2 linked regions of the Rattus norvegicus genome follow. The protein of the gene in region 2 interacts with the protein of the main gene of each other region in a biochemical or structural test. Links are inferred from orthologs where the notes say so. Each region holds a gene or a part of one and is shown on either strand. Other genes may lie near its edges.

The links.
Region 1: the proteins of Csnk2b (region 2) and Tnfaip1 form a complex in vitro, tested with the Homo sapiens proteins (2 studies listed by BioGRID, with this or other methods). The link is inferred for Rattus norvegicus from reciprocal best matches to the Homo sapiens genes CSNK2B and TNFAIP1.

The regions. Positions count from the first base shown.
Region 1 is NC_086028.1:63,927,627-63,932,188, reverse strand, and holds the start of Tnfaip1 (BTB/POZ domain-containing adapter for CUL3-mediated RhoA degradation protein 2), read left to right. Parts: upstream 1-1,674; 5' UTR 1,675-1,844; intron 1,845-4,562. UniProt on the Homo sapiens protein: Substrate-specific adapter of a BCR (BTB-CUL3-RBX1) E3 ubiquitin-protein ligase complex involved in regulation of cytoskeleton structure.
Region 2 is NC_086038.1:3,704,178-3,708,685, reverse strand, and holds the start of Csnk2b (casein kinase II subunit beta), read right to left. Parts: upstream 2,964-4,508; 5' UTR 2,845-2,963; intron 2,251-2,844; coding exon of another isoform or gene 2,240-2,250; coding exon 2,168-2,239; intron 1,588-2,167; coding exon 1,485-1,587; intron 650-1,484; coding exon 534-649; intron 188-533; coding exon 112-187; intron 1-111. Other genes in the region: Gpank1 (G patch domain and ankyrin repeat-containing protein 1), read left to right, coding at 3,882-3,918. UniProt on the Homo sapiens protein: Regulatory subunit of casein kinase II/CK2.

The sequences.
Region 1 (4,562 bases), on a different chromosome or scaffold from region 2:
CAGTTTGAGTATTTAAGAGCTACCAGGGACTATGGAATAGTCCATATGAGAGTGCAAACACTAGTTTGAATTTCTATCACCTTCTGAGTTAGCATGCATTTATTAAAAACAAAAAACAAAAACCTGTTGACTCTCAGCTCCAAGGACAGAGTGAACACAGTATCTCCAGGCAGATGTAAGCAAATAAACACAAACTGTGATCAAAGTATGAACAGCACTCAGTGCTGTCAGGATTCTACAGGAGAACATAACTCAAGTGTGCAGAGAGGTCAACAAAAGCCTTCAGTAAAAACAATCTGAGACCTAAACATGTCCAAAAAAATCTTCTAAGAGAAGGGAGAGGCACATTCCAGGCACAGGGAAAAGCATATGGGAGCATCCCGAGGCTATAAGAATTTGACACAAAGGGTCCTGGGATCAAAACAGCAAGAGGGAGCAATGGGACAATTAGCTATAGCTGGATGACTAAATGCTTCGAAAGCTCCAGAAATGAACTTGGATTTTTTTTTTATAATGGTAACAGCTAGCAGTGGATTCCAGTAGTGCTTATCAATCAGATTGGAAAGATCACTCTTGGCCGAACGGAGGAAACAGGAAAGAGCAGCACAGGCGTGCCTTCCAGATTTCTCACTGTGAGCCTAGCATCTCTAAGCAGGCTGCCTGCAGGTGAGCGGCACTCTGATAATGTTTGCAGAATGAATGAATTAGTGTGGAAACAGTAGGCTGTAACAGAAGAAAAGACTTGAAGCCGAACGGGAGTTCAGAGATCAGATGTTGTCTGAATTGACAGAATGTATTAATGCTTAAAGCAGCACTTGGGAGAAAAGTGAAAAGAGCCAAACACGACTGCCACGAATCTGGATTGGACCGAGTGTATGGCTGGAAAGGACAGTTTAAGGAGATGGGTAAGAAAGCGTTGCAGGGAAATGGTACACAGCGGACTATCAGATCCCCACCCCACCCCTAACCCCCACGACAAATAAGTTCCAGGGTCCTGGGATTGAGTTTCCTAAACATGAGGGGCTGTGCTTGGCTCTACGCCCCCTGGCTCTCCCAGGTCCGCTGGCATTGCGATAGTTGGAGCTGTGAGGTGTGAAGGCGCAGCCATAGTAAGAAAGGACTGGACAAATGGCGCAGAATATCTGAACCTCGGTTTCCCGGTGATTTCGAGGGAGCAACGCTCTCGGGCTGAGCTGAGTGTAAACCCGCTCCCTAAAAATTCCGAGGTGTGGAAACCGCCGCTTTAAACCCGGGCCTGCGAATATGCAGCGCCACGTCACATCGGCCTCCTCTCGCCCCAAGTCCTCCAAGTCCCCTCACGACTTACCTGCCGAGCCGTCTCGACAGCGCGCTGCGGCCCAGACGACTGTCGGTAGAAGCTTCTCTTCAGTAACTGCAATCGGCGGCTGCCACGGATACTGGACCTATAAACCACACGTCACTCCCAAGACCAGAAGCACTACTATCCGCCCTCCCCGAGGTGTTTGCTGGGAAATAGAGGCAACACGAGAGAAATAACTCCCCACTAGGTCCAGAAGCCTTTGCGCCGGGGGCGGGATGTGTGTGTGTGGGGAGACTATGACACCGGAAGTAGATTGTTCCCAAACCCGGAAGTAAAAAGTAGTCAAACTTCTGAGAGTTTTCTACTTCAATGTCCAGTCGCGCGCTGTGCATGCCGGGTCTTGTAGTCTGTTTCCCCGATATGCAGGGTTGGGCTGTAACTCCGAAGTCGGCGGGCGCAGGATGTGAGCTCACAGCCGAGATTGCAGATAGCTAGCTACAGGCCAGAGGCCGCACGGAGTTCGCTTGCCACTTGGCTGAGAGGAAAGGCGCCCCCGCGGACGGTGAGAGCTAGACGTGCGGGTGCAAAGGGGAAGGATAGGCTCTGCCGAGTCTTGGGCAAAAGGCACGGGACGGCGCGCGGGGTTGAAGTTCTGGTCTTCTAGGGAGGATCTCAGTTTTATCAGAAGAGGAGGGGTGTGGCGGGGAGAGCAGCCTACACTGCCACGAAAGACAAGGGATATTTCTCCATTTCCACAGGAGATCCTTTGGGTGAAACATAAGTGTCGCTTCCACGATTTCTGAACTTTCTAGCCAAAATCAACTCTCCCACCTTCTCGCCGTACCTTTCTTCCTTTAGGACCTCTAAAGACTACCGCGATCGTTTGCCCTTTGTTCTGCTTGGCTTCGCATTAGGTTCCCATAGAGACACCTGTACGTCCCCAACCCCAGGATTACCCCTCTATCCACAGGCGAAGTCTAGAGGAAAGAGCGCTGAGAGTATCAGTGGAAACTTCATCCTCTCAGAAATTTCTTTCTAGGGCGTCACCTGCCATTGGACTCTTGGAACTCATTGGTCTGGGTGGAATCTGGTCTGACGTCATCTAGGACTCAAAGTGGCTGCTTTGTAGGAAAAGAATAGATTAGCTCCGGATTTGATTTCCTCAATTGGCAAACCTAGTTCACCGAGTTTCTTTGATTTGGCAGAACGTGTTTATGTGCTTCTTGATTCTGCGGAAATGGGGATTGGACACAAAATATGTGAGGAACTTGCTAACACTTGTTAAGGGGGTGAATGTTTTTTCCTCCTTTGAGGTAAAGCAGTCGCTCACCATTCTAGCATTCTAGTGTTACTGTCAGTTACCCGGAGCTCATATTCCATCACTGAAACAAATAAGAAGCCATAAAAAGGATGTGCTACTTAATATAGCACCACCCTATCCTTCCCCAGACAGCCCCCACCCCAGGGACATACCAAAATCTTTTCAGGGTCAGTTTTAGTTTAACAAGCTGATCTATATTGAATACTTAAGAGTGCCTTTCTTGTTTGAGGACCAGTGTTCTGGGTTTTACCTGTAAGACATGAGGAGTAACAGTAAACGACTGAGTGTTCTGGGGTTTAAAGAGGTTGGTTCCGCTTTGGGTTTTGAGGTCATTTCTGTCTCCAGCATTGCTGCTGCGGTCTAAGCCTTTGTCATCAATTGCCTGGACCACTCCTCCCTCCGGTCTTCCCACTTCCTTTCATGTGCCTTTGCACTCCACACAGCATCAAGTTGTCCTCGGAAACTATAAATCAGATCACATCTCTTCCCTGCTAAGAGCCTCCCAGGTTCCCAAAGTCGCTGCAATTCCCATAACCCCCGGCTCTTCCTGTCATGTAATACTTGCTTTCTCTGGCTTTCCATCAGACCGTCTTCCCCCTTTTTGTTGTATACTAGCTACCATGTCACTACTGTCCCCAAAACTTGTACCTTTTGAGTAATTTATGTGTGCGGTGACTTTTGGCTGCATGTGTGTCTGTACACCACGTGTGTGCCTGGAGCCCACACTGACCAGAAGAGGGCATCAGAACTTCTAGAACTGGACTTAAAGATGGTTGTGAGCCACCATCTAGGAATGCTAGGAATTGAACCTAGATCCTGGAAGAGCAGCCAGTACACCTAACTCCTGAGCCATCTCTCCAGCCCCATAAAACTTGTTTCGCTTTTTAAAATGTGTTTGTACGTGTGTGTGCCTGAGTGTATATATGAGTACTGTGTGCGTGCATGCAGCAGTACCCAGAAGAGGGTATCAGATTCCCTTGAAACAGGACAGAGTATTGATTTGGGTGCTGGGAACCGTACCAGGGTCTATTGCAAGAGGAATACACACAGGTTCTTATCCTCTGAGCAATTTCTTCAGCCTCTAAAACCTGCTTAGATAGGAGCTTTGCTCTTGCTGCCTAGACTCTACTTCTTGGACCTTGGCTGAAACGTCATCTTCAATTGGTCTCAAGCCTCAACCTGATCGTTCTCATGAGATTCCTGTATTCTCAGTGACATTGATGGCCTCTATAACTGTCCGCCACTTTGTTCCCTCATTTATAGTGTATCTTCTGGTCTGTTTTTGTCTGAGGTAGGATCTCTATGTAGCCTGGAACTTCCAATGCTGGGATCAAAGGCATGTGCCACCACACCCAACTAGTCTGTCTTCTTCCGCTGGAATGTGGGGTTCATGAGGGTAGAACTCTTCTGTATTTCTTCTTCCTTTCTAATCTCAGTGCCTGACACAGTAGGACCATAATAAATGCTTCTTTTTTTTTTTTTCTTGTTGGGCTGAGGATGTAGTGTTTGCTTAGCATGCATGAAATCCTGGATTTGGTCCTCAGCACCATATAAAGTAGGCACATGGCTAAAACCCCAGCACTCGGGAGATGGAAGCCGGAAGATCAGAAATGCAGTCAGTGTTCTCAGTAAGCTGGAGGCCAGACTGGGCTACAAGAGACCCTGTCTCAAAACAGCAAGTCTTATGAACATTATGGTGTTTTTTGACTTCCTTGAAGCAAAAACGGTGTATTTATATGGTTCCTACTGCTTACTATAACAGGTTCCAAATAGTTTTATTGTCAAGTGAATTAAGTGAGATAAAATATATATACCCAATGCCTATAAAACTCAGTACCACAAAGCTAAGCATGAAGTGAATTAAACTATGATACTTTTTCTTTGGTGAATGGATTTTAGTGATTTATTTATTTATTTATTTATTTATTTATTTTTGGTTTTTTTGAGACAGTGTCTCTA
Region 2 (4,508 bases):
GACCAGGAGTCCCCAACTCTCCCCAGCCTCCCACAGGACTCAGGCACTGTGTACACCAAGCCAGCTTCTTGCAGGACGGCCAGAGAGTGCCCTCCTCCCATAAACACTCACCGATGGGAAGCATCGGCTGGTTCTCACAGTATACTCGAGGACAGTAGCCAAAGTCTCCTTGCTGGTACTTTTCCAACTGACATGTATAAAACAGAAGGGAGTGGTCGGTGAGTGCGTAGGCAATCTCAACGCACTCCCGGTTCCCCCACGCCTCCCGAGTCTGACTAGAAGCCCCTTCTGTGGAGACAGGCCCTCCAACCCCTCAGGTGCTTTTCCTTCGTGGGGCCGGCTGCAGAGCACAGGGCTGTTTGCCATGTGTCCCCTGCAAACTCCTTTTTCTGGTTTCATCTCCCTTCCTGAAAACACCACCTTCAATGGGACCCTCAGTGGCCCTGCCCTGGGCATCTCCCTCTCTCCTCTTCCCCAGCCTCTGACTCATGCACCCTTCCCCTCCTGTAGAAGTAGCAGGAGCAGAGCCTCACCATTTGTGCAATGCCCCGGTTGGTGAGGATGTAGCGGGCGTGGATCAACCCATAGAGCATCTCGGCCGCCTGCTCAATCAAGTCACTCTGGTTGGGGTTGTCTTCCAGCTCTTCATCTGAAATGTGGGGCGGCCACTTGTTTAGCTTCCCTAGGTATCCCTACCTTACCTGCAGTACCTGTTCCTAAGCTCGCCCTACCCACCATCCATGCATCTGACCCAGAAACCTGGGCTCCTGACTCCTCTACAAGGTCAAGACCCTCAGCGCAGCCTCTCTGTATGCCTTAGTCTCTGCCTAAGTCCCTCTCTCCTTCCACAGTAAGTAAATGTAAACACACAACCACAGAGGTGGCCCTCGAGGGCAGCAGAGGGAAAGAGGCAGCACACCAGGCCCAAGAGGAAATCACCATTACAAAACAGCCGAGCTGCTTTCAGAGAGCATCAAGACCAGGCAAGGAATCAAAACAGTGGAGAAGTTAAGCACTGCTGTGTGCCTCTCTCCAGCATGGAAAGCTAGGGCAGGACAGCACGTGGTAAAGTCCAGTTTGGGTTATGAATGGAGGGGCTAGAGGTGGGGGAGGAAACACAGGAGCAAGCGAGAATCAAAAGGAAATTTAGAAATTCAAGAAGCAAGCCAGTCTGTGATTCCAGCACTCAGGAGGCAGAGGCAGACAGATCTCTGTGAGTTCGAGGACAGCCTGGTCTACAGACTGAGTTCTAGGACCGACAAGGCTACCCAGGAAAATCCTGTCTCCACTACCCCTCTCCCCGCAAAAAACAAAACAAAACAAAAACAAACAAACAAACAAACAAACAAACAAAAAAACCCCAACATCAACAAATTCAAGAAGCAAGCAAGCAGAGAGCAGAAGAGAACGGAAACAAAGCACCCACAAGTGCACTCTATCACCAACCCCACAGTCAGCAACAACCCAGGACACACGTTAGTTACCAGGTTCCAGGTCCAAGATCATGTCTAGGGCTTGTCGATAGTGAGGCACCTGCTCATTGAGTCCAGTAAGATTAAATTTGTCCTGGATGTAGTCTTCATCCACCTACAGGGGAGTCAAGGGGTTCAAACCAGTATAGAAAGGCCCGTCATCTTCCCACCTGGGCCCAGGAGATAGTCTTTCCTCAGCCAAGCCACCTCTCATGTTTCCTAGTCCCAGTTCTGCAGAAGTACTCAAGTTTCATAAAAACTGCAGCTCTTTTCTTTAAGGCAAACCAGATCCAGCACACAAAGACATTATTCAGCTTCTGTCCCTCATTTTACAAATTGCATGTGCCCTCTTCTTGGGGACAGCAGACTCCTGAGCTGAAGACCTCGGAATCATGAAGGTCAAGTAGTTTAGTTTCTGAAAGGTATTTATAATTTTCTACCTTAGCACACCGTGCTTTGCACGTTACACAACTTTGACATGAGAGGTTTTAACTGCCCTAATGGTCACCAGAGACACCTCTGTTAGCCATGCATATTGACAAACCCTCACAATACTAGCACTCAGGAGGCGGCCGGTAGGATTGCCAGGAGTTCAAGGCCAGTCTAGTCTGCATAGTGAGCTCGATCGAAATCTGCTCTCAAACGACGTAAAATCAAACATCGAGGGCATGTGGAGTTGGCCGACCTAAACTCACCTCACAGAAGAATTCATTACCACGGAGCCCACAGAACCAGGAAATCCAGGACACCTCCTCAGAGCTACTCATCTTTATGTCCGCTGAGAAAGAAGAGCCTAAGTAAGTGGAGACCAAGCTGTTTCTGGTCTCTTCCCTCCTCCCACACGTTCTCCACAACGACGGATGAATCCGAGTCCAGCCGGGCTTAAAGGATCCCGGCCTCTGAAGCATCTCCAAGCTCCTCTCCTTTAGCTCGGCCCCCCCTTACAGTGTGCTGAGAACGAGTTCCGCTACTTTCCAGAAAATGACAGGTCCTGATCTGTTAGTGTTACCCCCGTCCCTGGCGCTCCTCACGGCCAGGCCCCTCTCCCCTCCATGTCAGCCGCGACAGGGCCCTCGGCTCGGGCTCCCCACCACCGCAGGTGCCTGCATATTCCTGGCGCCTGTCCCAAAGCTCCCGAAGTTCATTTTACCCAACAGAATCGGCCTCTCCTGCCCTCGCAGGGTTGGCGAGGGCACCACACTTCCGTGGGACTCACGAGCGTCCCCACAAGCCGCCTCCTCTCCCCAGGCCCCCCGACCTCCTTCGGCTACCGACCCGGTCACTTCCTTCGTCGCCCCCACATCGAGGAGCACCGACCCGAGTGCCGCGCCCAGGGACCGGCGACTGGGCGCGGAGACAACCCCACACTCACCGGCCGGACGGGGACTGGGACTGGGGCGGGGAAGGGGAGCTGTGCTTCCAAGGAACGGCAGAGACCGCTACAGCGCAAAAAGCCGACCCGGCCGCGGCAGACGAAGTGGGGAGGGGGGGACTGGAAACTGGTGAGGGTTTAGGGGTTGGGGGGGAGAAGAGAGCAACGCGCAGGCGCTAAGGACCGCCCCCCTACCTCCGTGGACGCCGGGAGATGTAGTCCCGTCAGGAGAGAGAAACTGACGAAATGAAGGGAAGGCAAACTACCAATCCCAGGAGGACCCGCGCATGACTCTAGGGCCGCGAGGCCCTAGAGGAAGCCGCCCGGGGGCGGGGCGAACGGAGCGCCACCGGAAGCGGAAGCCTAGCACGGAGTCTTCTCGACCAGGAAGCCTGGGAAATATAGTCTTAGGAGGCTGGCTAGACTACGGGGCTAGCGCCCGGGGTGATTGTCATCCCTACGGTGCTCTCTCGGCGTTGCGCTTTAGTTTTTCTCCCTCCTCCCCGTGCCAGGCCAACCCACTGGACCCTGGCTCTCCTGCCAGGCCCGCGACAGAGCGCGCTCGGGCTCCGGCATGCGCAGAGGTGTGGTGAGGGACTTAGGTCGGGTGTGCTTAGGACGCGCTGAGCTGTGCATACGGCGTGAGAATCTAGACCGCCCTGCGCGCTAACCTGAGGTGGGGCCAGCCATTCTGCCGCTCGTCCCTTTGTACTTCTCCATTTCCTCAGAGCTTGATGGAGCGTCCTGCTGCGGACCCTAACTGTTCTTCAAACCCTGCTCAGAGTAGTGGTGAGGGGTGCCGTGATGTTACTTCATCTCACAGCTCCTCGGCATTCCACAGGTCTCCCCCTCTGTGTCCTCAGAGTCTTTCTGAACGCAGAGGGTGGCCTCCCAGCTCCAGGAAAGGAGCTTGGTGCTGGAGGGACCAGGGCGAGGGTGGCGAAGAGCATTGTGGGGGCGTTATGTAAAAGCAGGACCCCAACCGACAGGTTCCCCCTTGGGTCCTCGCGCTCCTGGGCACGCGATGCTTTACACGGATGCTTGGAAAGGTTCCAGCGCGGGAAACTGAACCTTGTGGGTGTTTTGTTGTTGTTGCTGGTGCGCATGCGTCATGGCTCCCTGTAGCTCTGATTGTATCAACTCTTAGAGATTATGAGAGCGCCATTTTGCGGTACGGAAATGACAGTGCAGCGTCTTTCCCCGAAAGCTTCCGGAATAATGTCACGCCTGTTTTTTATCTGGGAAAAGGAGACCCCCCCTAGATAAGATCGAGCAAGATTTAAAAGGCTGAACTGATATTTTCAAACGGTATGTGTTAGAGGACAGGAAAAATGATTTCAGAGAGAGCCTGGCATTTTTGTAGGAAGATGGGAGTTGAACGCAGGACCCCTAGACCCCTATTCTTGTGGAATATTTTTCCTGTTATCCTTTTTCTTTTCTGTGTTAGAGATAGAACCTAGAATTCTCAAATTCGGGGCGAGCATTCTACCCAGAGACATAGGTACCTACCATGCCCTCCTGAAATTATATTAACATTGTGGCAGGATCAGTTATTCCTGGGTTACATTTTATCCATGAGCCCTGGGCTCTACAGAATCCTAGGTATGAAGTCAGTGTGGGGATGGAAGGTCCATTTTAGTTGTAGGCTGCTGGGCCCCTGGAGG